Macaca fascicularis: one gene and its partner. Each later gene encodes a partner of the first gene's protein in a complex. Links are inferred from orthologs where the notes say so. Each region holds a gene or a part of one and is shown on either strand. Other genes may lie near its edges. The genes, in order: EIF3I and EIF3L.

The links.
Region 2: EIF3I (region 1) and EIF3L share a complex: the UniProt entries of both Homo sapiens proteins name them as parts of the eukaryotic translation initiation factor 3 (eIF-3) complex. The link is inferred for Macaca fascicularis from reciprocal best matches to the Homo sapiens genes EIF3I and EIF3L.

Annotation. Positions count from the first base shown.
Region 1 is NC_088375.1:202,793,471-202,808,947, reverse strand, and holds EIF3I (eukaryotic translation initiation factor 3 subunit I), read left to right. Parts: upstream 1-1,270; 5' UTR 1,271-1,318; coding exon 1,319-1,321; intron 1,322-1,414; coding exon 1,415-1,507; intron 1,508-3,220; coding exon 3,221-3,308; intron 3,309-3,597; coding exon 3,598-3,663; intron 3,664-5,769; coding exon 5,770-5,919; intron 5,920-6,001; coding exon 6,002-6,129; intron 6,130-8,157; coding exon 8,158-8,268; intron 8,269-8,387; coding exon 8,388-8,477; intron 8,478-8,795; coding exon 8,796-8,869; intron 8,870-10,500; coding exon 10,501-10,593; intron 10,594-10,688; coding exon 10,689-10,770; 3' UTR 10,771-11,180; downstream 11,181-15,477. Other genes in the region: TMEM234 (transmembrane protein 234), read right to left, coding at 2-68, 744-895, 1,184-1,199; uncharacterized protein, read right to left, coding at 11,381-11,920, 13,858-13,961, 14,268-14,610. UniProt on the Homo sapiens protein: Component of the eukaryotic translation initiation factor 3 (eIF-3) complex, which is required for several steps in the initiation of protein synthesis.
Region 2 is NC_088384.1:13,736,262-13,751,738, forward strand, and holds part of EIF3L (eukaryotic translation initiation factor 3 subunit L), read right to left. Parts: intron 15,159-15,477; coding exon 14,987-15,158; intron 10,488-14,986; coding exon 10,333-10,487; intron 9,028-10,332; coding exon 8,857-9,027; intron 6,557-8,856; coding exon 6,059-6,556; intron 1-6,058. UniProt on the Homo sapiens protein: Component of the eukaryotic translation initiation factor 3 (eIF-3) complex, which is required for several steps in the initiation of protein synthesis.

The DNA of each region.
Region 1 (15,477 bases):
CCTGTCGATGCCAAGGTGAGGTAATAGAGAAGGGAGCCACACTGGTTGAGGAGAAAGGGCATCAGGTACTGGAAAGAGGAGAAACCTGCAGTCAGTGTGATGGCCTGACTGAGCAGCACTGCCTTCTTTGAGCTCCTAGCGAATGCCTTTCCTTGGAGGGAGGGAGGGTTATAAAGACCCAGAGAACACTAATCCCTCTAAGGAGAACCCTTCCAGGGCAAAGAGGGAAACAGACTGAACTCTGTGCCTTTGCTCAAACTACCCTCTCCCTCAACTCTGCTAATTCCCATCCTGCAAGGCCTTGATGCCAATGTCAGCTCCTCCAGGAATCCTTCCCCAAGTCCTCCAGCTCCAGCCTTCCTTCTCTGAACTCCTCCCCTGCAGGGCCAATTTGAGCCCTAAGTCCTCCCTCTGGAAAGGCTCACAAATGTTGCCTTATTTAACTGAAGGAATCACAATAATAAAATGTGAATAATGGCAGCCATAGATTGAGCACTTACTATGTTCTAGGCCCAAAGCTAAATGCTCTACGTATCTCACCTAATTCCCACAACTGCCCTATCAGATGGTTGTTATTATTATAATCGCCATTTACAGATGATGAAACTGAGGCTTAAGGAGGACAACTGACTCTTCGGAGAATTTCTGGTGAGTGGGGGTGGGGCTGACCCAGACCTGTTTGACTCCAAAGACCAAATTATTGGTGGCAACTCCCCCGAGAGAGGGGCCTTTCACAGACGCACCTCAGTATTCAAGAAGAGGGTCTTCATCTCCTGTAGCAACTGCCGGGCCCAGGTCGGCTCATGAACCCGCTGCAGGCCGGCGGAGGCCCGCTTCAGCAGCGGCTGCGTGCCACCCCACAGAGCGGCCACCAGCACCAGAGCCAGCACCTGCCCTGAATACAGACGAGTGCGTCACCCTGACCCCCACCCCAAACGGCCGCCCACCCCGCCCTCTCCTGGCCTCCTAGCCCCAGCTAGCCGCCCCGACTTCCCTCCTTCGCTGTCTTCGCCTCGGCTGCGACTGGCGGCTAAGGCAGGCCCAGCGAGGCTGGGGAGATGAATCCAGGAGTCCAGCCTCTGGGGTTGTAGCAGGGGTCGGGATTAGGGGGTGCAGGTGGAGCAGGAAATGAATTCGAGGCGAGGGTCGGGAAATCCATGGAGGGGCGGGGTCGGCTACCTACCCAGAGACGCCGCCATGGCAACGCCGCTGTCTTCTACTTCCGGGAACGAGGGGGCGGAGACCCATAATCCGGAAGTGGACCCAAAGCGTTTTCCGGTCCTACTCACGTTGCGGCCTTCCTCGCGTCACCGCCGGGATGGTGAGTTTCAGAGTTATGGGTATTGCAGTGGGCGTCCTGGGCTGAGGCCGGGGCCCAATTCCGAGCACTGACGTTACCATCTTGTCCCCACAGAAGCCGATCCTACTGCAGGGCCATGAGCGGTCCATTACGCAGATTAAGTATAACCGCGAAGGAGACCTCCTCTTTACTGTGGCCAAGGACCCTGTGAGCGTCGGCTGGAGGGCGGGCGGGACCATGCGGAGGGGGTCCGGGAGGCGAGAGATCCTTCTGCCAGGACGATGGGTGGACATGCCAGTTTTGCCGTTAGCGGGGAACCAAAGAACGGCCCATTCTGAGAAGTAGGGAGAGGCCATCCCGGGGGTAGGTTGGCGAAAGTATTCTACTGGGAAAGGTAGGGAAGAACTCGATTGGCCGACTGCGGTGGCTCACGCCTGTAATCCCAGCACTTTGAGAGGCCGAGGTGGGAGGACCGCTTGAGTCCAGGAGTTGGAGACCAGCTTGAGCAACATAGTAAGACCCATCTCTACACACAAAAAATTAGCCTGATGTGGTGGCTCGCGCCTGTGGCCTCAGCTGCTTCGGAGTCTGAAACGAGAGGATCGCTGGAGCCCGGTGAGCTGAGATCGTGCCACTGTACTCCAAGAAAAGCAAGAGACAGTTGCCGGGCGGGGTGACTCAAGCCTGTAATCCCAGCACTTTGGGAAGGTGAGGCGTGCAGATCACGAGGTCAGGAGATCGAGACCATCCTGGCTAACACGGTGAAACCCCGTCTCTACTAGAAGTACAAAAAATTAGTCGAGCGTGGTGGCGGGTGCCAGTAGTCCCAGCTACACGGGAGGCTGAGGCAGGAGAATGGCGTGAACCCGGGAGGCGGAGGCTGCAGTGAGCCGAGATGGCGCCACTGCTCTCCAGCCTGGACAACAGAGCGAGACTCTGTCTCAAAAAAAAAAAAGAAAAGAAAAGCAAGAGACCACTGTGGAAAGGGGATAAGGATGAGGGTCAGCTTGCCCAGAGAATGGGATGCGGCCTTTAGGGATAATCTAATTTTTCTACCAGGATAGTGCAGGCTGTGTTATTCAGACACAGGGGACTTAATGAGGCTGTCTCTAGTCTCATTTTAAGTCAATCCCATTCTGCTACTCAATGCAAAACAGTCCCTCATGATACTGCCTTTTTAAAATTTTATTTTATTTTTTGGGGTACGGAGTCTCGCTCTGTCACACAGGCTGGAGTGCAGTGGTGCAATCGCGGCTCACTGCAGCCTCCGCCTCCCAGGTTCAAGCGATTCTCCTGCCTCAGCCTCCTGAGTAGCTGGGACTACAGGCTCGTGCCACCACGCCCGGCTAACTTTTTGTATTTTTAGTAGAGACAGGGTTTCACCATGTTGGCCAGGCTGGTCTTGAACTCCTGACCTGAGGTGATCCGCCTGCCTCAGCCTCCCAAAGTGCTAGGATTACAGGCGTGAGCTACCACACCCAGCCTGGCCATTTTCAAGATGAGAAAACTGAACTTCAAAGGAGAGAAGCACTGTATTTGAGATCATACAGTGAGACAGTGGCAGAGCAGGCACTGGAACCCAGACTTCCCTACTATCAGCTGCTCCCACTTGGATAAGACATCAGAGATACTGTTTTTCTGGACTGGAGCTCAACTTGGCCTTTTATTCTTTGGAGCCACTGGGAGTCCCAGGAGAGCTGGAGCTAACAAATGAGGATGCTTTTACAAGCCGCCTGACTCCTCTGTTGCTTACCTTCAGAAAGGGAGGAGAATCCAGGAGTTGGTCTTTTTATCAGCTCCCTGCTGTTTCCCAAGAAATGAAGAGAAGAGGGCAGAATCAGCCTGGCTACAGGCTGCTGAGGGTTCCTGGGGTAAAGTAGGAAGCATCGCTCTTACTATCCTGTGGTTTGACTTTTCCAGATCGTCAATGTATGGTACTCTGTGAATGGTGAGAGGCTGGGCACCTACATGGGCCATACCGGAGCTGTGTGGTGTGTGGACGCTGACTGTATCCTTGTTTTGGCTCTGAGTCCATGCTGCTAGGGTCTGTCAGCAATGGAGAGGCTAGGTTGGAAGTTGGGAGTTGGGGGTGTTGTTGAGGGCCTAGAGAACAATACCTCCTATTCCCTGGTCTCTTCACTGGCTGGGGAAACATTTAGGACAAGTTCCAGTTCTGGATAAGGAGGTAAGAGGGGAAGAAAGGCTCTTTGGGGCTGAACAGGGAGATGACTCACTTGGCCTCCCCCAGAGGACAAGGGCTCAGGTGAACTTCGTCATGTTTCTTAACAACTCTTCAGGGGACACCAAGCATGTCCTCACTGGCTCAGCTGACAACAGCTGTCGTCTCTGGGACTGTGAAACAGGTAAGCTAGGTTCATTCACTTTTTTAGCAACAGGTCCTAGGAAAATAGAGATGAAATCCATAGATAGTTTCCAGTCTAGGGAATAAGAGACAAGAAAGACAGATGAGAAAAGAAGTCTTACAGTAAGATACACACCATGGTAGAGGAAGCGTAGATTACTATGGGAGGCCAGAGCCCAGCAACTGGCTCCCTAGAGTGGGGATGGGAGCAGCCTGGGAAGGTTTCCCAAGGTAAATGTCATATGAGCTGGAGCTTAAAGGATGAGGAAAGACGTCATCACTTTGGCACATGCAGGAGTGAAAGCGTGGAGACTGTTGTGTCCAAGTCATCTGATCTGGCTGCAATTCCTGCTTCTTGGTGGGGTGGGGGTAGGGGGGTGAAATACACAGTCATGGAAAAGATGAAGCTGGAGAGTCAGGCTAAGGCCAGAACAGGTCTTGAATGCCAAACTCAGGAGCTTGGCTTTGTTCCATAGAATATGGGGTGCTGTGGAGGTCCCTGAGCAGGCAAGAGTGGGGGTCTGTTCAGTTTAGCAAGGTCAGGGAGCAGGGGGGAGGCACTGGAAGAGCTAAGACTGAAGACAGGGGAGCCTATTAAGTTTTCTTTTTTTTTTTTTTCTTTTTCTTGTTTTTGAGACAGAGTCTCGCTGTCGCCCAGGCTGGAGAGCAATGGCATGATCTTGGCTCACTGCAACCTCTGCCTCCCGGGTTCAAGGGATTCTCCTGTCTCAGCCAGCCCGAGTAGCTGGGATTATAGACGCACACTACCATGCTTGGCTAATTTTTTTTTTGAGACGGATTCTCTCGCTCTGTCACCCAGGCTGGAGTGCAGTGGCACAATCTTGGCTCACTGCAACCTCTGCCTCCTGAGTTCAAGTGATTCTCCTGTCTCAGCCTCCCGAATAGCTGGGATTATAGACATGCGCCATCACACCTGACTAATTTTTGTATTTTTAGTAGAGACAGGGTTTACTGTGTTGGCCAGGCTGGTCTCAAACTCCAGACCTCAGGTGATCCACCCACCTCAGCCTCCCAAAGTGATGGGATTACAGGCGTGAGCCACTGCGCCTGGCCGGTGGCTAATTTTGTATTTTTAGTAGAGATGGGGTTTCACCATGTTGGCCAGGCTGGTCTCAAACTCCTCACCTCAAGTGATCCACTTCAGCCTCCCAAAGTGCTGGGATTACAGGCATAAGCCACTGTGCCCAGCCTAAGTTGTTCTGTTTAGTGCCAGGTCTATGCTGGGCACTGGGGACATGCAGGGAAATCAGATCAGGTCTTTGCTGTGGAGGATTGCAGTCTGAGTGGGGAGATAGATATATTGCAGTCTGCGTATGAGCAGTACCACATTAGCAGGATGTCTGAGGAAAGAGTCTGGATAAGAAGTTAAAATACTTGGCCAGGTGTGGTGGCTCACGCCTGTTAATCCCAGCACTTTAGGAGGTCGAGGGGGTGGATCACCTGAGGTCAGGAGTTCAAGACCAGCCTGGCCAACAAGGCGAAACCCCGTCTACTAAAAATACAAAAATGAGCCAGGCATGGTGGCGGGTGCTTGTAATCCCAACTACTTGGGAGGCTGAGGCAGGAGAATCGCTTGAAAGGTTGCAGTGAGCCGAGATCACACCATTGTACTCCAGCCTGTGGGACGAGAGCAAAACTCTATCTCAAAAAAAAAAAAAAAGGGCCTGGCGCAGTGGCTCACACCTGTAATTCTAGCACTTTGGGACGTCAGGGTGGGCGGATCATGAGGTCAGGAGATCGAGACTATCCTGGCTAACATGGTAAAACCCCGTCTCTACTAAAAATACAAAAAATGAGCGGGGCATGGTGGTGGGCGCCTATAGTCCCAGCTACTTGGGAGACTGAGGCAGGAGAATGGCTTGAACCGGGAGGTGGAGCTTGCAGTGAGCGGAGATCGTGCCAGTGCACTCCAGCCTGGGAAACAGAGCGAGACTCTGTCTTAAAAAAGAAAAAAAAAAGAAAAAATACTTTCTAAGTTTGGGTTACTGGAGCAAGAGAAACAGTGAGATGCGATGGTAGCATTCTCTAGAATGTCCTCCCTGCAATTGCAATGGATGGTGTAGCCCAGACTCTTGCCTGTTTCCAGGGAAGCAGCTGGCCCTTCTCAAGACCAATTCGGCTGTCCGGACCTGTGGTTTTGACTTTGGGGGCAACATCATCATGTTCTCCACAGACAAGCAGATGGGCTACCAGTGCTTTGTGAGCTTCTTTGACCTGCGGGATCCGAGCCAGATTGGTGAGGGCTGGGATTAGGGCTGGGGTTGAGGTAAAGGGTGCAGCTCTAGAGCCCAGGGCCTAACATCTACTGCTCCACACAGACAACAATGAGCCCTACATGAAGATCCCTTGCAACGACTCTAAAATCACCAGTGCCGTTTGGGGACCCCTGGGGGAGTGCATCATCGCTGGCCATGAGAGTGGAGAGCTCAACCAGTATAGTGCCAAGGTAAGAGGCCACATGGGGCCTGAGCCTACCAGAATGATTCTTTTTTTTTTTTTAAGGTAGAGTTTCTCTCTGTCGCCCAAGCTGGAGTGCAGTGGTGCCATCTCGGCTCACTGCAACCTCCACCTCCCGGGTTCAAGCAATTCTCCTGCCTCAGCCTCCCGAGTAGCTGGGATTACAGGCACACGCCACCATGCCTGGCTAATTTTTTTTGTATTTTTAGTAGAGATGGGGTTTCACCATGTTGGCCAGACTGGTCACGAACTCCTGACCTCAGGCAGTCCGCCCACCTTCGCCTCCCAAAGTGCTGGGATTACAGGCATGAGCCACCACACCTGTATTTTTTTTTTCTTTGAGACAGAGTCTCACCCTGTTGACCAGGCTGGAGTACAGTGATACGATCTTGGCTCACTGCAACCTCTGCCTCCTGGATTCAAGCCATTCTCTTGCCTCAGCCTCTCAAGTAGCTGGGAATATAGGCACCCACCACCATGCCTGGGTAATTTTTGTATTTTTAGTAGAGATGGGGTTTCACCATGGTGGCCAGGCTGGTCTCAAACCCCTGACCTCCTGACCTCAGATGATCCACCTGCCTCAGGCACTGGTGATAGCACAGTAGTTCAGAGCAAGGGCGGAGCTGTATGCTGTGGCTCACATCTGTAATCCCAGTGCCTTTGGGGGCCAAGACAGGAGGATCTCTTGAGCCCAGGGGTTGGGGCTATAGTGAGCTGTGATCATACCACTACACTCCAGCCTGGGTGACAGTGAGACCCAGCACTTAGGGAGGTTGACCCGCCTCAACCTCTCAAAGTGCTGGGATTTTCTAATAAATTAAGAAAAAATTAATAAAAATTTTTAAAAAGAGCAGAGGTGAGATTGAAATGTAGATTTCACTACTTTTTAGCTGTGTGATCTTGGGCAAGTTACATAACTTCTCTGACCCTGTTTATCTGTAAAATGTTTCAAGGATCAAATGATATCACATGTTTGAAAAACTTGTCACAAAGTACTCAGGACATGTTAATAAGGATCACAGGCCGGGTGCGGTGACTCACACCTGGAATCCCAACACTTTGGGAGACTGGAGCAGGAGGATTGCTTGAGCCCCAGGGATTGAGATCAGCTTGGGCAATACAGGAAAACCCTATCTCTAAAAAAAAAAAAATTAAAAATTAGCTGGGTGTGGTGGAGCGTGCCTCTGGTCCCAGGTACTCAAGATGTTGAGGCTGAAAGATTGCTTGAGTCTGGGAGATTGAGGCTGCAGTGAGCCATGACTGTGCCACTGTACTCCAGCCTGGGTGATAGAACAAGACCCTGTCTCAAAAAAAAAAAAAAAATTAAGGATCACAAATGAGCAGTTCCCTGCCACCAGAGTATAATGCCCTGTGCTGAGTTCCTAGAACAAAGAAGTAAATCAGACACAGTCCCTTCCCCCTTGGAAGGGACTTGCAAACAGCTAGCACCTGAGTCAGATTGTGAACTGTGCCACCGTAGAAGTCTCAACCAGGTGTGGAAGGTGCACTGTCCCAGGGAGGTGGTGTGTACATTAAACCCTGGAGAATAAATGGAGCTTCAAGCAGGAAGGAAAGAACATCCCACAGGCAAAAGGAACAGCAAAAGCAAAGGCACAGAGTTAAGAAAGTATGGAGTCTTCAGGAACCATTGGGATGCAGTCTTGGGGACAGAGGACAGGGAATAGATTTTAAACGTCCTTAAGTGTGAGGAGATAAAGAGTTTTGATTTTCCTCCAGGCAGTAGGGAATCTTGAAAGGGTTATCTATGGCCAGATTTTCCTTCCAACAGCGCTTGCAGGTTATGTTTGGAGAATGGACCTGAACTAGCCATCAGGCATAGGATGTACATTACTGGACAGAGTCAAGGGATATTTAGGGGTGACTGATTAGATAGAGGGGGTGAGGAAAACACAAAGTCCATGCTATCTCAGCTTTCTCATTTGGGTGCTTAGGTTTCTGGGGAACTGAGATTAGTAGGGATTGGGCCCAGTCAGTCTCATTCTTCCTCCTTCCCCAGTCTGGAGAGGTGTTGGTGAATGTTAAGGAGCACTCCCGGCAGATCAATGACATCCAGTTATCCAGGGACATGACCATGTTTGTGACCGCATCCAAGGACAACACAGCCAAGGTGAGCCTGGGCAGGGGTCTGGCAGGGCTGCTGCCTCCCTCCTGCTGCACAGCTCACCCTGCCCGACTTCCCCCAGGAAGGCTCTTTCTACAGATATCCCCCTTGCCTTCTCTCTCCAGCTTTTTGACTCCACAACTCTTGAACATCAGAAGACTTTCCGGACAGAACGTCCCGTCAACTCAGCTGCTCTCTCCCCCAACTATGACCATGTAAGAGAACCCCATCCAGCCTTCCTGCTAAAGCCTCAGGAAGCTTCCAAGTTCTAGATGCTTGTCCAGAAGTTGGGCTACAACATTGTGGGGGAAATGATGTCAGGCAGAGAGGAGATTCCCAGAGGAGTGACAAAGCTGGAAGGATGAATAGCCCCAGGGAAGCGGGCAGGAGGTGGCAGAAGTGTCTGATCATCCCCTACCTTTGGTATCCTCCCATTGAGCTGTGTGAGATGTGAAAAATGTATATGGCAGGAGAAAAACAGAAAATAGACTTGGTGTCCATCGGGCCCATCTAGAGTTTCTTCTTCCATTCAGGTGGTCCTGGGCGGTGGTCAGGAAGCCATGGATGTAACCACAACCTCCACCAGGATTGGCAAGTTTGAGGCCAGGTAAAGAGGAAGAGAGCTCTTCCAAATTGAAATCTCATGGGGTGCACCTTTTTTTTTTTTTTCCCCGAGACGGAGTCTTGCTCTGTCACCCAGACTGGAGTGCAATGGTGTGATCTCTGCCTCCTAGGTTCAGGCGATTCTCCTGCCTCTGCCTCCCGGGTAGCTGGGATTACAGGCACCCACCAACACACCTGGCTAATTTTTGTATTTTTAGAAGAGACAGGGTTTCACCATGTTGGCCAGGCTGGTCTTGAATGAACTCCTGGCCTTAAGTAATCTGCCCACCTTGGCCTCCCAAAGTGTTGGGATTACAGGCATGAGCCACTGTGCCCGGCCTTCATTATATTTCTCTATGCCCATATTTCCTCTATTGTATAATGAGACAGTGACAATATACTTACCATAAAATTATGCAGATTAAATTATTCAGTTAATATTTATTAAGCTCTTTAAGCACTGCCCAGCACGTAGTAGGCACTCTATAAGTATTAGCTATGAATTTAGGCAGACTTCTGGGTCCGGTCTTCCTCTTATAATAAAAAAGTTAAAAAATAAAGATACAGGGTCTCACTATGTTGCCCAGGCTGGCCTCGAACTCCTGGGCGCAAGTGATCCTCTGCCCTCAGCCTCCCAAAGTACTGGGATTACAGGCGTGAACCACAGCCCCCAACTTCATCTTATTTTGTTCACATTCACTTATTATCTCAATTTTTCTGCTTTATTATTATTTTTTGAGACAGGGTCTCACTCTGTTGCCTAGGCTGGAGTGCAGTGGCACCATTTCTGCTCACTGCAACCTCCTGGGCTCAAGCAATCCTCCCGCTAAGCCTCTGAGTAGCTCAGATTACAGGTGCACACCACCGTGCCTGGCTGCTTTTTGTATTTTTAGTAGAGATGTTGGCAAGGCTGGTCTCAAACTCCTGGCCTCAAGCGATCTGCCTTTCTTGGCCTCCCAATGTGCTGGGATTACAGGCATGAGCCGCCACGCCTGGCCTCAAATGCAAATTATATCACAAAAAATAAAGCAGAAGCCGAGTTGGTGACCAGCCTGGCCAACACGGTGAAACCCCATCTCTACTAAAATACAAAAATTAGCCAGGCGTCTATCATCCCAGCCACTCGGGAGGCTGAGGCAGGAGAATTGCTTGAACCCAGGAGGTGGAGGTTCCAGTGAACCGAGATTGCGCCACTGTATTCCACCCTGGGTGACAGAGTAAGACTCCATCTCAAAATAAATAAATGGGGCCGGGTGCGGTGGCTCACGCCTGTAATCCCAGCACTTTGGGAGACTGAGACGGGCAGATCAGGAGAACAGGAGATCAAGACCATCCTGGCTAACACAGTGAAACCCCATCTCTACTAAAAATACAAAAAAGTTAGCCGGGCATGGTGGCAGGCACCTGTATCCCAGCTACTTAGGAGGCTGAGGTAGCAGAATGGCGTGAACCTGGGAGGCAGAGCTTGCGGTGAGCTGAGATCGCACCACTGCACTTCAGCCTGGGCGACAGAGCGAGACTCCGTCTCAAAATAAATAAATAAATAAATATAACAATTTGCATTTGGGGAGCGCCACCTTCAAAATGTTTTGGAAGGAAATGGAAAGTGAATTAATTGTGTCCCTTTTCCTCCAGGTTCTTCCATTTGGCCTTTGAAGAAGAGTTTGGAAGAGTCAAGGGTCACTTTGGACCTATCAACAGTGTTGCTTTCCATCCTGATGGCAAGAGGTAGGGTCCCAGTGAAGCAGCTGAGCTAAGCCCGGGTTGGGTCTCTGCCTCTCCTAGAGTAGGCACCTGACTGGTGCCTGGCTATCTTTTTCCAGCTACAGCAGCGGCGGTGAAGATGGTTACGTCCGTATCCATTACTTCGACCCACAGTACTTCGAATTCGAGTTTGAGGCTTGAGAAGCTGGATCTCCGGCCGGGCGCGGTGGTTCATGCCTGTAATCTCACCACTTTGGGAGGTCAAGGTGGGCGGATCACCTGAGGTCAGGAGTTTGGGACCAGCCTGACCAACATGAAGAAACCCCGTCTCTACTAAAAATATAAAAATTAGCAGGGCGTGGTGGCACGCACCTATAGTCCCAGCTACTCAGGAGGCTGAGGCAGGAGAATCACTTGAACCCAGGAGGCGGAGGTTGCAGTGAGCTGAGATCGTGTCATTGCACTCCAGCCTGGGCAACAAGAGCGAAACTCCGTCTCAAAAAAATAATAATAATAATAAGCTGGATCTCTATCCGGGCCAGAGAAGATTCTCACAGAAGGTTTTGAACTCTAAGAAATAAATTGGTTTGGTAATAAATGGCTTCTGGTCAGATATTTTGTGGGGTCTGTTTTATCATCTTTCCTTTTCACTGACACCCCAGCAAGGGGATGCCGATCATGGAGACTTTTATTATTTAGACCTCCCTATACTTTGGACACCTCAAACTTAAGACCGTCCGTACTTTTGGCCAGCCTGGGTTGCAGGCATCCTCTTCCAAGGTGTAAAGGTCCTAAGGGGCCTGCAGAGGTTTCAGGAATGTCTCGGTTGCTGTCCAAGGAGCCAGTGCTTAGGGTGGGGGCTGAAGTAGTTGGCTGAGAGGCTTCTGTCTTCTCCCTTCCTGTCACTGTTTGCCACGCTCTTCCCCCATGCGGCTTCTGCAGGCTTAGGTGAGTGGGTCCAGCGAAGAAACAGGCCCGAGGAGGAGGAACACAGGTCAGGACGCTGAGCGGAGGGATAATCCCCCGTGGAGAAGGTGTGGGGCTCACCTTGCCCAGCCGCAGGCTCTGGGGCTCCACAGATGGCCAAGGGATTGAGGATGTAGAGTGGGTTCCGGAGTCTTTGTTGCTCTTTTGGCTGGCTGAGCCAAGACCACAGGGAGTGCGTCCGAGCCCTCACTTCACACGGGCATCTGCAGAAAGGCAGGGAGTAAGTTTCCAGCCCCAGGTATGCCCTCTGGGAGTCTGGGTGGGCAGCCCTGGTTAGTAGGGTGACAGCCACTTTGGAGCAGTGATAACCTCTCCTTTTCTCCTTTTTCTTGCAAACATTGCCAGTCAGATCTTGTACTGGGCACTAGAATAAAAGGAACAAGACAAAGTCCTACTTCTTAAGGAGTTCTATTTAAAGGGAGAAACCAATTTAGTTTTGCCTCAGTGTCAGAGAAGGCTAATTAAGAATGTGATGTTTGGCCGGGCGCGGTGGCTCAAGCCTGTAATCCCAGCACTTTGGGAGGCCGAGGCGGGCGGATCACAAGGTCAGGAGATCGAGACCACAGTGAAACCCCGTCTCTACTAAAAATACAAAAAATTAGCTGGGCGCGGTGGCGGGCGCCTGTAGTCCCAGCTACTCAGGAGGCTGAGGCAGGAGAATGGCGGGAACCCGGGAGGCGGAGCTTGCAGTGAGCCGAGATCGCGCCACTGCACTCCAGCCTGGGCAACAGCGTGAGACTCCGTCTCAAAAAAAAAAAAAAAAAAAAAAAAAAAAGAATGTGATGTTTGAGCTGAGTCTCAACAGACCTAGCATACCCGCTGTGCAAAGCAACAGCCAACACTTGGGGAGAATGGCAGGAGCCAAAGAAAGAAGGAGGGAAAGGCCCACTGTGAATATTGATAGGCCTGGACCCAGGAGCTTTTGAAAGAAAACTGATAACAATGAAGATGCAGAGAAGAGTGAGGCAGCTGCTGGAGAATCCAGATGGGAGAGACCAGTGTGGATGAAGACCGGGGGAGGGCCTTCTGGCAAGGGAGGACCAAACTCAGACAATTTTAGGAGAAAGACTAAAGATGAAGGATGGGGGAGAGGGAAGTAAATAGAGATGATCCAAGACTAGTAGGGTTAGTGAAGCAGGATGGGGTATGGAGGAAGACTGAGCAACAAAATATAATTAAATCTGATCTTCACCCTGGAAAGGAGTGAACCCTCCCTCCCCGCATCTCAGTCTCATAAGACAGCTGGCATCTGGGGCTGATTGGGAGCGTATGCAACAAGAGACCAACCAAATAATAAAAATACCACTTCTTTTATTTATTTGTTTATTTATTTAATGGAGTCCCACTCTGTTGCCTAGGCTGGAACGCAGTGGCATGATCTCGGCTCACTGCAACCTCTGCTTCCCAGGTGCAAGCAATTCTGCCTCAGCTTCCTGAGTAGCTGGGATTACAGGCATGTGCCACCACGCTCGGGTAATTTTTTTTTTTTTTTTTTGAGACGGAGTCTTGCTCCGTCACCCAGGCTGGAGTGCAGTGGCGCGATCTTGGCTCACTGCAACCTCTGACTCCAAGGTTCAAGTGTTTCTCCTACCTCAGCCTCCTGAGTAGCTGGGACTTCAGGCAGGTGCCAACATGCCTGGCTAATTTTTTGTATTTTTAGTAGAGACAGGGTTTCACCATGTTAGCCAGGGTGGTCTTGATCTCTTGACCTCGTGATCCACCCGCCTCAGCCTCCCAAAGTGCGGGGATCACAGGTGTGAGCCACTGTGCCCAGCCTAATTTTTTGTATTTTTAGTAGAGACGGGGATTTCACCATGTTGGTCAGGCTGGTCTCGAATTCCTGACCTCAGGTGACCCGCCTGCCTCAGCCTCCCAAAGTGCTGGGATTACAGGCGTGAGCCATTGCACCCGGCCAGATTACGGCTACTTTTATCCCCTTCATGCTACTGATGAGATTGAGACTCAAACAGGTTTGCTATGAACACCCAGCAGGTGAGTGATGAAACTGGAATTTGAGCCCAAATTATTAGACTCTGCTTTCAACTTCCATTCTATTGCTTGGAAAGAATCAACCTGGCAAAGTGGTAGAGAACCCCAGAAACTATTTTTGCAGCAAATTTCCCCTGTAATCCTTGTTTTCAAGGCAGGGGTTCATTTGCAATTGGCTATGGACAGAGTAGGTATGTCTAAATGATTGGCCTTAGACCTATTTATCTCTGGATTTGCAGAAGTTAGGAGGAAGTATGAGATTTGGAGACAGGGGCAAGGAGAACACTCAGTTTTCCTAAAAGACAAACTCACTTGAATTTGAGAAAGATGGCTCCTAAGGAAGTAAGCTGCTGGCCGGGCACGGTGGCTCACGCCTGTAATCCCACCACTTTGGGAGGCTGAGGTGTGTGGATCACCTGAGGTCAGGAGTTTGAGATCAGACTGGCCAATGTAGTGAAATTCCGCCTCAACTAAGAGTATAAAAATTAGCCAGACGTGATGGCGCATGCCTGTAATCCCAGCCACCCAGGGGTCTGAGGCTGGAGAACCAGGAAGGCTAAGGTTGCAGTGAGTCCAGATCGCGCCACTGCACTCCAGACCAGGCGACAGAGCGAGACTTCGTCTCAAAAAAAAAAAAAAAAGGAAGGAAGGTGCTGATGGCACAGGCACACAACCCCTTCCTCTGCCTGCCCCTAACCCACCTCAACACTCCCTCAGCTTACCTCTCCTTTTCGCTGTTACAGAGAAAGGTGCCAAAAGGGGAGGCATAGGCGTGCCCAAATAGCGCCAACAGTAGCCCTTCCCCAAACTCCAATGACAGTCGGAACTGGCGGCCTGGCTGCCACACGCAGTCCAGGAAGAAGAGAAAGGTGGGTGCCTCATGCTTGGGGTGGGCATGGGAGAAGGCTGAGTGGGCACAGCACAGCTGGAAGGGGTGGCCGGCCTGGGGAGTGGGGCAGAGCAATGGGGAAGCAAGGTTTCTGGATGGAGGGTAAGGCTGGGGTTGGGTGGTCGCTTACTTTCCTGGATCCACTCCAACTCCACCAGTTCCTGGAATCCAGTCATGGTTTTGCTCAAGGGGTCCAGGATGAGTTGGGCCAGTGAAGTCACAAGCAGGGTGCTGTCTGTGCCTTCAGCCCCATGTACCAGGCCAGGAATAGAATGGACTCAGTTCTAGGCTATATTTGCTTACTGAATCACAGTTTTGCATTCAGGGGTTGAGAGCCCTGCCCATCCCGCCCTATTCTGTGTCAAGGGGGCCTTACCTCTCCATGCCCTGGGCTGCCAGGCAGGCGGTGCTCAGTGCCTCCTTTACATGTTACAGCCAGCAGCAGCCATCCAGCAGACTCAGCCAGTTGTCCATGCTCTGCTCCGAGTCCCCACAGGCCTCCACCAGGCGCACGAAGCTCTCCTGCAGGGGAGAGCTTGGCAAGTGCTCAAGACCAATGAGGGAGACACAGAATCCTGTAAAGAGCCTATCTGATAAAAGGGACATAGAGCCCCTTAGGGATTCCAGTCTCACAGCACATACAACCCACAGAGGAGCTCCTAATCTTTGAGACAGGGTCTCATTCTGTCCATGAAATGGTTTCTTTTTTTTTTGAGACAGAGTCTCACTCTGTCTCCAGGCTGGAGTGCAGTGGCGCGATCTCAGCTCACTGCAACCTCTGCCTCCCGGGTTTAAGCGATTCTTCTGCCTTACCCTCCCAAGTAGCTGGGACTACAGGTGCATGCCACCATGCCCAGCTAGTTTTTGCATTTTTAGGTTTCACCATGTTGGCCAGAATGGTCTCGAACTCCTGACCTTGTGATCCGCCCACCTCAGCCTCCCAAAGTGCTGGGATTACAGGCATGAGCCACCGTGTCTGGCCTAAAATGGTTTCTTAGCCTTGAGGATTCCTCAGTCTGATGGGAGAGACTCAAGACCCTTTG
Region 2 (15,477 bases), on another chromosome or scaffold:
TAGCTGAAAATATTTTGAACACCGTTTTACTTTAAAAGTTTCTACATCCTCTAGGTTAAGACCTAAGAACATTCTAAATCTCTGATAGGATTTCTTTCAAGTTAAGAAAGAAGAGTCAAAAAGGGGGAAAAAAAGAAGCACTTTGCCAAAGACGAACCTGAACCAGCACCAGAGGAATAACAATAAAACATGCACTAAATAATAACCAAATGGCCAATTCTTAGGATAAATGTTTTGTTAAACCACCCAGATTAGTTGAGAATAGCTAGGCTGGTAATTAAGAGGTGACAGAAGGATGCAGGAGGCTACTATAATTGCCAAAGAATGTATATGTCAGGTATTGAGAAAAAACTAGGCCAGGCATGGTGGTTCACGCCTGTAATCCCAGCACTTTGGGAGGCAGAGGTGGGCAGACAACCTGAACCCAAGGAGTTTGCATTTGAGACCAGGCTGGGCAACATGGTAAAACTCCATCTCTACAAAAAATACAAAAATTAGCCAGATGTGGTGGTGCACTCCTGTAGTCCCAGCTACTTGGGAGGCTGAGGTAGGAAGGTCACCTGAGCTCCCAGGAGTTGAAGCTGCAGTGAGCCGTGATTTTTGCCACTGCACCCCAGCCTGGACAACTGGAGGAGTAAGATGCTATCTCCAAATAAAAAAAAAAAAAAGGAGAAAAAAAACCAGGCTTGACATGATTCTGGCAAGGGAGAGTTTTATTTTTCTTTATTTATGTATTTATTTATTTTTAGAGACAGGGTCTCACTTTGTTACCCAGGCTGGAACGCAGTGGCTAGATCGTAGTTCACTGTAGCCTCAAACGCCTGGGCTCAAGTCATCCTCCTGCTTCAGCCTTCTAAGGCAGGGGCTATAAGGGACTCCCTCCCATAGCTGGGACTACAAGTACACGCTACCAAGCCTGGCTGAGTTTTCTTTGATTTATAAAAGCATGATTTATAACAGTATTGGAAAACTTCCACTATTGACGTGTTATTACTTTTGGCAAAACTGTTTGTATCGGGGTAGCTAACTTATGCCAAAAACCAAATCTTCCAGAAGTCATAAAAATGAAATGAGAGTATTTATTTTAAAGCAAGATGAACTTGCAAAAACAGACTACCCAAACTGACCTAGAAATTCCACAACTAGATATATAGCTGAAAATTAAAAACATATGTTCACATAATAACTTCTAAATGAATATTCACAGCAGCACTATTCCTAAACCAAAAAGTGAAAAAAGGAACAAAAAAACCCCAAAATCCCAAATGTCCAACAACTAACAAATGGATAAACAAAATGCAGTACCTTAATACATGGGATATTATTCAGCTATAAAAGGAATGTACTGACACATGCTATAACACGGATGAAACTTGAAGACATGTTCAGTGAAAGAACCCAAACACAAAAGCCCATATATTACATGATTCCACTTATCTGAAATGTCAAATGCAGAGAGACCAAAAGCAGATTACTGGTTTGCCAGGGGATGGCAGAAAGGGGGAACTGGGGAACTGCAAGTGACTGCTAGTGGGTAGGGAGCTTCTTCTTGGGGGGACAGAAATGTTTTGGAATTAGACAGTGGAGATGGTTGCAAAACACTGTGAACATACTAATAACCACTGAATTGCTCATTCGTTCATTCGTTCAATTTATTTATTATTATTATTTTTTTGAGATTGAGTCTCGCTCTGGCGCCCAGGCTGGAGTGCAGTGGCGCAATCTCGGCTCACTACATGCTCCGCCTCCTAGGTTCATGCCATTCTCCTGCCTCAGCCTCCTGAGTAGCTGGGACTACAGGTGCCCGCCACTACACCCAGCTCATTTTTTGTATTTTTAGTAGAGATGGGGTTTCACCGTGTTAACCAGGATGGTCTCGATCTCCTGACCTCGTGATCCACCAGCCTCGGCCTCCCAAAGTGCTGGGATTACAGGTGTGAGCTACCGCGCCTGGCCCATTCAATTTATTTATTTATTTTTATTTATTTATTTTTTTTGAGACGGAGTCTCGCTGTGTCGCCCAGGCTGGAGTGCAGTGGCCAGATCTCAGCTCACTGCAAGCTCCGCCCCCCGGGTTTACGTCATTCTCCTGCCTCAGTCTCCCGAGTAGCTGGGACTACAGGCACCCGCCACCTTGCCCGGCTAGTTTTTTGTATTTTTTAGTAGAGACAGGGTTTCACCGTGTTAGCCAGGATGGTCTCGATCTCCTGACCTCGTGATCCGCCCGTCTCGGCCTCCCAAAGTGCTGGGATTACAGGCTTGAGCCACCGCGCCCAGCCCATTCAATTTATTTATGGAGACAGGGTCTCACTCTGTCACCTAGGCTGGAGTGCAGTGGCGTGGTCTTGGCTCACTGCAACCTCCACCTCCTAGGCTAAAGCAATTCTTGTGCCTCAGCCTCCCAAGTAGCTGGGATTACAGGCATGCACTACTACACTCAGTTAATTTGTGTATCTAAATAAATAAATAAAAACGAAAATCTTATCAGACATTAAAATGTCCAGCTTGAACTTAAAAGTACCAGTTAAAACTAACACCGTTCTTCAACCCGCCTCCCCTCCTGAGAGGAAGCTACTGCTATGTTGCTTGTTTATCCTTCTGGAAAGAACTTCATGCATACACAGGCATACACAAATGTATTACTAGTCACTCTGTAAAAATCTTTCTTGTATTTTTTGTAATATACAAACCATCCAAATGTTAATCAACAGGAGAATGGATAAACTGCAGTACAATAACAACAGTAGATGCTGGACTATCAGAACAACAAACACGAAGGAATCACTGCTACACACAATGGACGGTGACTCACTCAATTATAATGTTGGGCAAAAGAAGCCAGACTTAAAGAGTACATACTATGTAATTCCATTATATAAAGTTCACAAACAGGCAGCACTAACCCAAGGTGTTAGACATCAGGACAGGACAGGCGCAGTGGCTCACACCTGTAATCCCTGCGTTTTGGGAGGCCAAGGTAGGAGGATCACTTGAAACTAGCCTGGGCAACAAAGTGAGACCCTGTTTCTATAAAGTAAAAACTTAAAATCAGCTGGGAACAATGGTGCATATCAGAGTTCGAGACCAGACTGGGCAACATGGCGAAATCCCATCTCTACTAAAAATACAAAAAATTAGCCAGTCGTGGTGATGTGCGCCTGTAATCCCAGCTACTTGGGAGGATGAGGTAGGACAATCACCTGAGCCCAGGAAGTTGAGGCTGCAGTGAGCTGAGATTGCACCACTGCACTACAGCCTGGGCAACTAGAGCGAGACCTTGTCTTAAAAAAAAAAAAAGAAACTAGCCGGGCGCGGTGGCGGGCACCTGTAGTCCCAGCTACTCGAGAGGCTGAGGCAGGAGAATGGCGTGAACCTGGGAGCCGGAGCTTGCAGTGAGCCGAGATCCGGCCACTGCACTCCAGCCTGGGCGGCAGAGCGAGACTCCGTCTCAAAAAAAAAAAAAAAAAATAGGGCCGGGCGCGGTGGCTCACGCCTGTAATCCCAGCACTTTGGGAGGCCGAGGCGGGCGGATCACAAGGTCAGGAGATCGAGACCACAGTGAAACCTCGTCTCTACTAAAAATACAAAAAAAAAATTAGCCGGGCGCGGTTGTGGGCGCCTGTAGTCCCAGCTACTCGGGAGGCTGAGGCAGGAGAATGGCGTGAACCCGGGAGGCGGAGCTTGCAGTGAGCCGAGATCGCGCCACTGCACTCCAGCCTGGGCTGGGCGACAGAGCCAGACTCCGTCTCAAAAAAAAAAAAAAATAAAAATAAAAAAAAAAAAATAAATAAATAAATAAATAAATAAATAAAAGAGAGGCCGGATGCAGTGGCTCACGTCTGTAATCTCAGCAATTTGGTAGGCTGAGATGGGCGGATCAACGAGGTCAAGAGATTCAGACCATCCTGGCTAACACGGTGAAACCCCGTCTCTACTAAAAAATGCAAAAAATTACCCGGGCGTGGTGGTGGGTGCCTGTAGTCCCAGTTACTCAGGAGGCTGAGGTAGGAGAACAGCGTGAACCTGGGAGGTGGAGGTTACAGTGAGCTGAGATTGCACCACTGCACTCCAGCCTGGGCGACAGAGCGAGACGTCTCAAAAACAAATAAATAAATAAAATTTTTTTAAAAGGCCAGACACGGTGGCTCATGCCTGTAATCCCAGCACTTTGGGAGGCCAAGGCAGGCAGATCACGAGGTCAGGAGTTCGAGATCAGTCTGGTCAACATAGTGAAACCCTGTCTCTATTAACAATACACAAAAAATTAGCTGGGTGCGGTAGTGTGCGTCTGTAATCCCAGCTACTCAGGAGGCTGAGGCAGGAGAATCGCATGAACTCGGGAGGCGGAGGTTGCAGTGAGCCAAGATCGTGCCACTGCACTCCAGCCTGGGCGACAGAATGAGACTCCGTCTCAAAAAAAAAAAGCTTTGTGCAGTGGCAGTATGGCCAATGAAGGTTATGTGAGGTATGATTATTGCTAACTAAAAATAAAAAAATTAAAAAGGCAGCAGGACAATGGCTTCCCACTTGTAAAGTACTCCAACAGTCTACAAAGCACCATCCCCCTTTCTCCAACCTCATCTACATAGCCTCCTTTCTCAGGCCACTCGGGCATACCGCAGGTGTCCCTTAAACTTACTGGCCTCACTCCTCTTCGGGGCCTTTGCTCTAACTATTCCTTTGCCTGGAAGGCTCTTCCTCCAGGTATCTGGGGAGCATTTTTTTTTCTTGAGACAGAGTCTTGCTCTGTTGCCAGGCTAGAGTGCAGTGGTGCGATCTCAGCTCACTGCAACCTCTGCCTCCCGGTTCAAGTGATTCTCCTGCCTCAGCCTCCCAGGTAGCTGGGACTACAAGCATGTACCACCATGCCCAGCTAATTTATTTTTAGTAGAGATGGGGTTTCACCATGTTGGCTAGGATGGTCTTGATCTCTTGACCTCATGATCCGTCCACCTCGGCCTCCCAAAGTGCTGGGATTACAGGCAAGAGACACCGTGTACGGCCTTTGGTGAGCTAGTAAGAATCCTCCACCGGGTGGATTGCTTGAGGTCAGGAGTTTGAGACTAGCCTGGCCAACATGACAAAACCCTGTCTCTACTAAAAATATAAAAATTAGCCATGTGTGATGGCAGCCTCTTATAATCCCAGCTACTCAGGAGGTTGAGGCAGGAGAATTGCTTGAATCTGGGAGGCAGAGGTTGCAGTAAGCCGAGACTACATCACTGCGCTCAAGCCTGGGCAACAGACTAAGACTGTCAAAAAATAAACAAACCAAAAACCACTCCCTTCAAGTCTTAGCTTAGCTTAAACTTCACTTTCTCAACAAAGCCTGTCTGAACACCATATTTAACACTGCAACCTGTGCCTCCCACCACCTCTTCCTCCCTTTACTTTGCAGTGCTTGGCAACCTCTTATTACATAGTTTAATTATAACATCTATTGTTAGCTGGGCATGGTGGCTCACGCCTGTAATCCCAGCACTTTGGGTAGCCAAGGGTGGCAGATCACCTGAGGTCAGGAGTTTGACACCAGCCTGACCAACATGGAGAAACTCCATTTCTACCAAAAATACAAAATTAGTTGGGCATGGTGGCACATGCCTCTAATCCCAGCTACTCAGGAGGCTGGGGAAGGAGAATCGCTTGAACCTGGGAGGCGGAGGTTGTGGTAAGCCAAGATCGTGCCATCACATTCCAGCCTGGGCAACAAGAGCGAAATTCTGTCTCAAAACAAAAACAAAAACAAAAACAAAACAAAACAAAAAAAACCCAAAAAACATCTATTGTTTATCTCGTGTTTTTTTTTGTAAACAGAGACAAGGTCTCACTACATTGCCCAGGCTGGTCTTGAACTCCTGGGCTATAGTGATCCTCCTACCCCAGCCTCCCCTAAAGTACTAGTATTACCAGCGTGAACCACCGCGCCTGGCACCTTGTGACAGTACCACAAGGGCAGGAATCTCTGATTTTGTTCCCCGATATACTTTCATGTGCCCACAATAGTGAATGAAAGATAGTGAACACTTAATACAAGACCCCAAGCCCGGGGACAGCATACCTTATCAATGTAGAAGTCAACCTCTGAGGCTGACTGAAATTCACCATCCAGGGCTGAGATGCCGCTGGTCCACACCAGATTCTTCATCTTGTGTTTGAAGACAAGAAGCTGGATCCGGAACTCCTGCTCTGTGAGGTCCAGGAAGCCAGCCAGCTTGGCCACAGGCATGGTGGTGTAGAGCTTGAGGAAGCTGCGGATGGTGGAAAGCTGGGCCTGCTGCTGCACTTCATCAGAAAACACCTTCAGCTGCTGCAGGAAGGGCTCTTTGTGGTAGTTGGGGTGCACATTATCATAGTTGGGCACTACAGGCGATAGGAACTTGGGGCAGGAGTAACTGAAAAGTTCTTCATAGACTTGTGGGTCACCTTTCTGCATGCGCAGCATCTTGTCCCCATATTTCTCCCGCAGCTGGAGGTGAATGCTCTCATCAATACGCATGGGGTACATAGTGAGGGCAATGGCCAGCAGCGCATGCATCTGCTCATTCTGCTTGTTAATCTGGGAATGGGGTGGAGAGTTGTACCCGGTCAAATAAGATGGACTTCCTGAGGTCCCCACCGTCAGTCAACTGGCCTCACCATTCTCTGCACAGATCTTTCACTTACCCAGTTGTCTCATACCAGCCACTGAATTTACCCCACCTCTCTTCCAATCCTCCCTCTAGATCTACTTAACTTCCATCCTAGGTCCAGATCCTCCTTAGCCATTTCCTGGATTCCTTACTGGCACCTCTGCCTTAGTCTCTCCAGTTTGTCCCACACATCACTAGCAGGTCAATCCTTTTACACCAGTTAGGATCGAGTTACCCAAAACCTTTGATGCGACTTTGATGCCGACAGAATATAGACTAAACAGTCATGTGCTGTGCAACAACGTTTCAGTCAACAACGGGTCATGGGCTACATATAGGATGGTGATCCTACAAGATTATAATCCTGTATTTTTACTGTATCTTTTCTGTTCAGATACACAAATACCTTGTGTTACAACTGCCTATGTTATTCAGTACAGTAATATGTTCTAGAAGTTTGTAGCCAAGGAGCCATAGGCTATACCATGTAGCCTGGGTATGTAGTAGGTTATCCCATCTAGGTTTGTGTAAGTACACTCTAGGATGTTCACACAACAAAATCACCAAACGGTGCATTTCTCAGAATGTATCTGCAGCATCAAATGACACGGGACTATACTTTACCTGGGTTAATGAAGGTTCTCAGAATCCAATAACCCAATTCCTACTGCCTATTTGCCCTCCAGCCAAAACGGTTTATTGTGCTGCTGCATCACCACACCTTCAAGTCTCAACCACTTTGCTCATGCTATTCTCTGCCTAGGAAGCTCCTCCCAATTCTATGTATGCTTTGAACCCATCCTCCTTCCCATCAATATCCACACCTTATTTTTTTTATTTTTTTTTTTTTGAGACGGAGGCTCGCTCTGTCGCCCAGGCTGGAGTGCAGTGGCCGGATCTCGGCTCACTGCAAGCTCCGCCTCCCGGGTTCGCGCCATTCTCCTGCCTCAGCCTCCTGAGTAGCTGGGACTACAGGCGCCCGCCACCTCACCCGGCTAGTTTTTTGTATTTTTTAGTAGAGATGGGGTTTCACCGTGTTAGCCAGGATGGTCTCGATCTCCTGACCTCGTGATCCACCCGTCTCGGCCTCCCAAAGTGCTGGGATTACAGGCGTGAGCCACCACGCCCGGCCCACACCTCATATTAAAACACTCAGAAGCCAGTGAACACTCTGATGTTTGTATTTTTCTTTTTTTTTTTGAGACGGAGTCTTGCTCTGTCGCCCAGGCTGGAGTGCAGTGGCCGGATCTCAGCTCATTGCAAGCTCCGCCTCCCGGGTTCACGCCATTCTCCTGCCTCAGCCTACCGAGCAGCTGCGACTACAGGTGCCTGCCACTTCGCCGGGCTAGTTTTTTGTATTTTTTAGTAGAGACAGGGTTTCACTGTGTTAGCCAGGATGGTCTTGATCTCCTGACCTCGTGATCCGCCCGTCTCGGCCTCCCAAAGTGCTGGGATTACAGGCTTGAGCCACCGCGCCTGGCCTGATGTTCATATTGATGCTGAATAAATAAATGTAGGCACTGCTGGAGGATATAATTGAAACAAAAGATATTATCATCAAGATGTTAATGATCTGAGATAACAGGCATCACAACAGAAACTCTTAGAGTATGCTAGCCATTAAAACATCATTTTGGCCGGGGGTGGTGGCTCACGCCTATAATCCCAACACTTTGGGAGGCCAAGGTGGATGGATCACCTGAGGTCAGGAGTTCGAGACCAGCCTGGCCAAATGGTGAAACCCCATCTCTACTAAAAATACAAAAATCAGCTGGATGCGATGGCACATGTCTGTAGTCCCAGCTACTCAGGAGGCTAAGGCTGGAGAATCACTTGAACCCAGGAAGCAGAGGTTGCAGTGAGCTGAGACCGCACCACTGCACTCCAGCCTGGGTGACAGAGACTTGGTCTCAAAAAAAAAAAAAATTAGCCGCTGAGCCGCTGTTGTGTCTGTTGTGTGCACTTTTAGACCCAGCTATTGGGAAGGCTGAGATAGGATGATCGCCTGATCCCAGGAGGTTGAGGCTGACGTGAGCTGTGACTGCGTCACTGCACTCCAGCTGGGTGATCTACTAGTAGGCACAATCATCATAGAGCACTCTACAGCCGTGAACTCCTGGCTTAAAATTGCAATATTTTGGATGGTGTTTACCAAGAACGGTTGGCATAGGTGCCAAGGAGCCTTCTGATTAGAAAGGTCATTGGTGGCAGGCAGAGTCCCCCTTACCATCTCATACTTATATGTGGTCCTCTGAAACATGCTCTTGGTCCTCTGGATGTAGAGGAGGATGTTGGCGAAGACCCGGATGGCATCCTGGTAGCGACGCATCATCAAATATGCAAACCCAACATAATAGTATGTGGTGACCTGGCACTCTGGCACGCGGGAATACATACTCTGCAGAAGGAGGTGGAACATACATCCATGAGTCTCAATTCATCCTAGATAGAACCAGAGGTAGAAACACCAAGAGTTTTCCCTGCAGAGCCCTGAACTATCCAGAGGAAGCTCTGCAGTTCCAGAGTTTGAGAGCCCATCTTCCTATTCATCAATTAAGTTGTATGTTTTGAGGAATCCATTTTCTTAGCTGTAACAAGAAGGTTCTGGATCAGGTAATTCCTAAAATCTCTTTCAGCTCCAAAATGCTATACATCTCAGTTTTGTTATTTTTCCTTGTTTTTTCAATTAAGTCCTTTTGGACAGGGAAGACAGAAACACATACACACACATGAACCAAACACCAAATAATCTGTAATATTTTTCTGTGGTTAGGAAGAACACAACAGCTAACCATGTATCAATGAACATACCATCTCAGAATTACATCTTTACTTCTTTTTTTTTTTTTCTGGGATGGAATCCTGTTCTGTCACCCAGGCTGGAGTGCTATGGTGTGATCTCGGCTCACTGCAACCTCTGCCTCCCAGGTTCAAGTGATTCTCCTACCTCAGCCTCCTGAGTAGCTGGGATTACAAGTGCCCACCATCACACCCAGCTAGGTTTTTTTTTTTTTTTTTTTTGTATTTTTAGCAGAGACAGGGTTTCACCATGTTGGCCAGGCTGGCCTCGAACTCCTGACCTCGAGCGATCCACTTGCCTCAGCGTCCCAAAGTGCTGGGATTACAGGCGTAAGCCACTGCAACTGGCCTTCTCAATCCTTTAGCAAAACGTGAAGAGTAAAGAACTGCCATGGGCCAGGTGCAGTGGCTCACACCTGTAATCCCAGCACTTCGGGAGGTCAAGGTGGGTGGATCATGAGGTCAGGAGATTGAGACCATCCTGGCCAACACGGTGAAACCCCATCTCTACTAAAATAAAATAAAATAAAAAAATTAGCTGGGCATGGTGGCGCATGCCTGTAGTCCCAGCTACTCAAGAGGCTGAGGCAGGGGAATTGCTTGAACCCAGGAGAAGGAGGTTGCAGTGAGTCGAGATGCGCCACTGCACTCCAGCCTGGCGACAGAGCAAGCTGCCATGATCACTCCATTTTGAAAAGAGAATAAAAAACTGTCATTAACTATCAAAATCGTCCAGGTCCAGCTTTTTACCACAGCTGTTTGCCCAGTTTTAGTCTCAACTTTCAATGGCCTGAGGGAAGAGTCCTCTTTCCTCTCCTGGAAATTTGTCCTAAGAGATCAGAGTGGTTCTCTAGAAATACATATTCTGGCTCTGGCAAGAAGGGCCAGAGGCAACAGGCATCACCTTCTTGTTCAGTTCGATGTTCTCCAGCACCTTGATAGCCTGGTAGTAATCTCCTAACAGGGAGTGCAGGCGGAGGAGCCCCACCAGGCTGAAGTAACCAAGCATTTTGTAGAGGGAGTGCCGCCCATACTCCCCAGCCACACTCTCGGGGTCACCTGAAAAAGAGAGACACCGTGAATACTCTGATAGGAGGCAGGTAAAGGCATGTATACCTGACCTCTGATTGTTACTCAGTAGGCATCTCACCTACTGCCAGCCTTGAAAGCTTCCCTCAATTGGGAATAACTTCAAAGGAATACCACGAAACAGCAAAACCAATCTTATGCTAATCTTAAATTTACCAATATTTGCTTACAGGGTGGCAGTTCAGTCTGCTTATTTTTTTTTGGTCCCAACACATGAAAAGGCCCCTCTCATCAGTAAAATACATCCATGAACACTCCTCCTTTCAGAACGCACATGAGGTCAAAGCTATTTTCCTAATAACAACACTAAGATGCTACTTGCCCTTCCCACTAAGTTGAATTTTACATGATGCAAACGCTATGTTGGGTAAAATTACTGTTAACTTAAGCATAAATCAGGTAGCGACACAAAATTGTACTGATAGTCACTGTATTGTTCCTTGCCATGCATTTATTTGCACTAAAAGAACTAGTCCTTAGCCAGGCATGGTGGCTTGGACCTGTAATCCCAGCTACTTGGGAGGCTGAGGTGGGAGGATTTGCTTGAGCCCAGGTACCATATCTGAATAACCAGAGTTTGTATCAGTTTTTGTTGTTGTTATTTGTTTGTTTTGAGACACAGATCTATGGAAGTGCTACTGCATTTTGGCCTGGGTAACAGAGAGACTCTGTTCTTAAAAAAAGACAAAAAAAAGAAAGAAAATCCTTTTTTCATGGAGTATCATTTTTACTTGAAAGAACAACTGATACACAGCTGAGCGCAGCTCATGCCTGTAATCCCAGCACTTTGGGAGGCCGAGGTGGGCGTTATCACTTGAGGTCAGGAGTTTAAGCCCAGCCTGCCCAACATGGTGAACCCCGTCTCTACTAAAAATACAAAAATTAGCCGGGTGTGATGGTGTGCACCTGTAGTCCCAGCTATTGGGGAGGCTGAGGCAGGAGAATTGCTTGAACCCGGGACGCGGAGGTTGCAGTAGGCAGAGATTGTGCCACTGCACTCAAGCCTGGGCTACAGAGCAAGACTCTGCCTCAAAAAAAAAAAAAAAAAAAGGCCGGGCGCGGTGGCTCAAGCCTGTAATCCCAGCACTTTGGGAGGCCGAGACGGGTGGATCACGAGGTCAGGAGATTGAGACTATCCTGGCTAACACGGTGAAACCCCGTCTCTACTAAAAAATACAAAAAACTAGCCGGGCGAGGTGGCGGGCGCCTGTAGTCCCAGCTACTTGGGAGGCTGAGGCAGGAGAATGGCGTGAACCCGGGAGGCGGAGCTTGCAGTGAGCTGAGATCCGGCCACTGCACTCCAGCCTGGGCGACAGAGCGAGACTCCGTCTCAAAAAAAAAAAAAAAAAAAAAAGGCGGGGGGGGGGGAAGGGCACACATTTTCACAAAAATGAAGTAAACCTGTCACACCTCAAAGAAAAGAACTGACAGTGTTTGCTACCAATACAACAATTCAAAAGTTGGGCACAGTGGCTCACACGTGAAATCCCATGAGTTCAAGATCGGCCTGGGCAACAAAGTGAGACCATGTTTCGTCTTTTTTTTTTTTTTTCCTTTTTGTGGAGAACGGGGTCTCGCTATATTACCCAGGCAGGTCTCGAACTCCTGGACTCAAGCTATCCTCCCGCCTCTGCCTCCCTGAGAGCTGGGATTACAGGCGTGAGCCACCGCGCCTGGCCGTGAGACCATGTTTCTATTAAAAAAAAAACCAAAAAAACAGCCAGGAATAGGTGCACATCTGTGGTCTTAGCTACTCAGGAGGTTGAGGTAGGAGGATCACTTGAGCCCAGGAGGTCGAGGATGCAGTGAGCCATGATTTTGCCACCGCACTTCAGCCTGGGTGACAGAGTGAGACCCCATCTCAAAATAAATAAAAATTCAAGCTATTAAGCAAAAATGGAATTTTGTAAAACTTGTATCTGCCACTACAAGCTCTGTAGCTGACGAATAAATGCTTACCTGATATCAGTGGCAAAAGTAACAAATGTGACTTTTTCAAAAAAATGTAATAAAATGTGTTAACATTTGGAAGATCTTTATAACTCAGTGAACCAATTTTTTTTTAAAAATCACACATGGCCAGGCACAGTGACTCACGCCTGTAACCCCAGCACTTTGGGAGGCCGAAGCAGGCAGATCACTTGAGCCCGGGGGTTCAAGAGCAGCCTGGCCAACATGGTCAAACTCTGTTCTACTGAAAATACAAAAATCAGCTGGGTGTGGTGGTGCGTGCCTATAATCCTTCCTTTCTATATCCTGGGAGGCTGAAACAGGAGAATTGCTTGAACCCGGAGGCAGAGGTTGCAGTGAGTTGAGATCATGACACTGCACTCTGCCTGAGTAACAGAGTAGATTCTGTTTCAGGAAAAAAAAGTCACACATGGATGTAAGGAACTCATTCAAATTACAAGAGTGACCAATAACGTTAATATAACAAAAGAAAAATTCACTAATACAGTTTCAGATTCCTCACTGCACCTAATCTGTATGAAACTACCAATGGTTATTTCAAAGTACAGGGTGAGTATACTTCTATAAATGCTTGTGACCAGAAGTGTTCTGGATTTTGCAACTTTTAATATCCGCATACATCTAATGATATATCTTTTTTTTTTTTTTGAGACGGAGTCTCACTCTGTTGCCCAAGCTGGAGTGCAGTGGTGCCATCTCGGCTCACTGCAACCTCTGCCTCCCTGGTTCAAATGATTCTCCTGTCTCAGCTTCCCAAGTAGATGGGATTATAGGTGCCCAGCACCAAGCCTGGCTAATTTTTTGTATTTTTAGTAGAGATGAGGTTTCACCATGTCGGCCGGGATGGTCTTGAACTCCTGACCTCAGGTGATCTGCCCGCCTCGGCCTCCCAAAGTGCTAGGATTATAGGCGTGAGTCATGGCACCTGGCCCTAATGAGGTATCTTAAGGATAGGATTCAAATCTGAACATAAAATTCAATTATTTTTCATATATGTCTTATACACACAGCCTGAAAGTAATTTTATTATAATCTTTTAAATAACTTTTGTGCGTGAAATAAAGTTCTGACTGCAACTGGTCACATGGGCTTGGGGGTAGAATTTTCCAGTTACGGCATCATGTGCGTGCTCAAAAAGTCAGATTTCGGGCCGGGCGCGGTGGCTCAAGCCTGTAATCCCAGCACTTTGGGAGGCCGAGGCGGGTGGATCACGAGGTCAGGAGATCGAGACTATCCTGGCTAACATGGTGAAACCCCGTCTCTACTAAAAATACAAAAAACTAGCCGGGCGTGGTGGCGGGCGCCTGTAGTCTCAGCTACTTGGGAGGCTGAGGCGGGAGAATGGCATGAACCCGGGAGGCGGAGCTTGCAGTGAGCCGAGATCACGCCACTGCACTCCAGCCTGGGAGACACAGCGAGACTCCGTCTCAAAAAAAAAAAAAAAAAAAAAAGTCAGATTTCGGAGCATTTCAGACTTCAAATTTTCAAATCAGGAATATTCAACCTATACATACTACTACATGGTGTAGTATCAAAGAAAATCCTCTCCAATAAGCCTGGCACTTTTGGGAGGCCAAGGCAGGATTGCTTGAGCCAAGAAGTCCAAGACCAGACTGGGTGACACAGCGAGACCCTGTCAACAAAAAACTCCTTCCTTTCTATATCTGCATTAAGCCAGATTTTCTTTCTTTCTTTCTTTTTTTTTTTCCAGATAACCTCTCGCTCTGTCGCCCAGGCTAGAGTACAGTGGTGTGATCTCAGTTCACTGCAACCTTTGCTTCCTGGGCTCAAGCAATCCCCCGACCTCAGTCTCCCAAGTAGCTGGGCCTCCAGGGGCACCCCGCCCACCATGCTCGGCCAATTTAAACACTTTTTTTGAGACAAAGTCTCACTATATTGCCCAGGCTGATCTCAAGCTCCTGGGCTCAAGCGATCTTTCTGCCTAAGCCTCCCAAAGTGCTGGGATTACAGGTGTGAGCCACAGTGCCTGGGTCAGATTTTCTTTCTAATCAAACAAAAGATTACACTGCAACAGATTGCATGCAGAAGGAGAAATGAGAAGCCAGCTAACTTGTATGAAGCCAGACAGAGAGACCGGCAAAAATGCCACTCTTCACTTAAAAAAAAAAAAAAAAAAAATTTTTAAAGTATAGATACATTTTGTGGTTCTCAATATTTTAACAGGGTAAAGTGGCTCTGACACCAACACGCGTGAGAAGTGCTTATCTGAACAAAAGCACTGGAGACACAGTAGAAGTGTTTATAAACGTAAATCTCAACATGCTGGTTCAGTGTGTTGGCCAACGGACTCCCAAGCCCCAGAGCCCCCAGCATGAATACTCTGCTACTGTTTGTACTCGAGCACCTACAAAGAGTCAACAGACCACCATCTAAGACATGGTGACTCATCTGCTTTACTTGCAAGATTCTATTCATTTAGAACAGACGGCAAGCAGCTGGAAATTCGCAGGCCGCAGCTGTTGGCCTGCTGCACTCACCTCCGCTTGTGTATACCTCCAACTGTCGGTTGATGTTGGATTTGTCTACCAGGGAATGAAGGACATTGAGGACACTGTGAACATTCCAGATTTTGGGATTGGAACGAAGAAAGTCAATCTCCTCCTCTGACTTCTTGGCAGTCTTACAGCGGTACTGACTGAATGACTGAAACTGTTGAGGAATAAACGAAATATGCTGTAGTGGTATAAGCCCAAAGTGATCGTCCATGTGCACAATGCTGAAAACGAGGCAATGCTCTGGCTCTGGACGGGGCGAGGTGATTGAGACATCCACTTCTCATTCTAAACCATTCTGTACACTGTTTTTCAAAGCCATCTTTGACTAAGCTGTGAATGTTGTTCATTACTGAATGTTACTACACAGTGAAGTAAAAATCTCTAGGATTAGAGGTAGTCTGTGGTAAAAACATCCAATCTGGAGTCAAACACAACCTAAAGTCACTTCCTATCTCTGGGCCTCACAGTGCAGT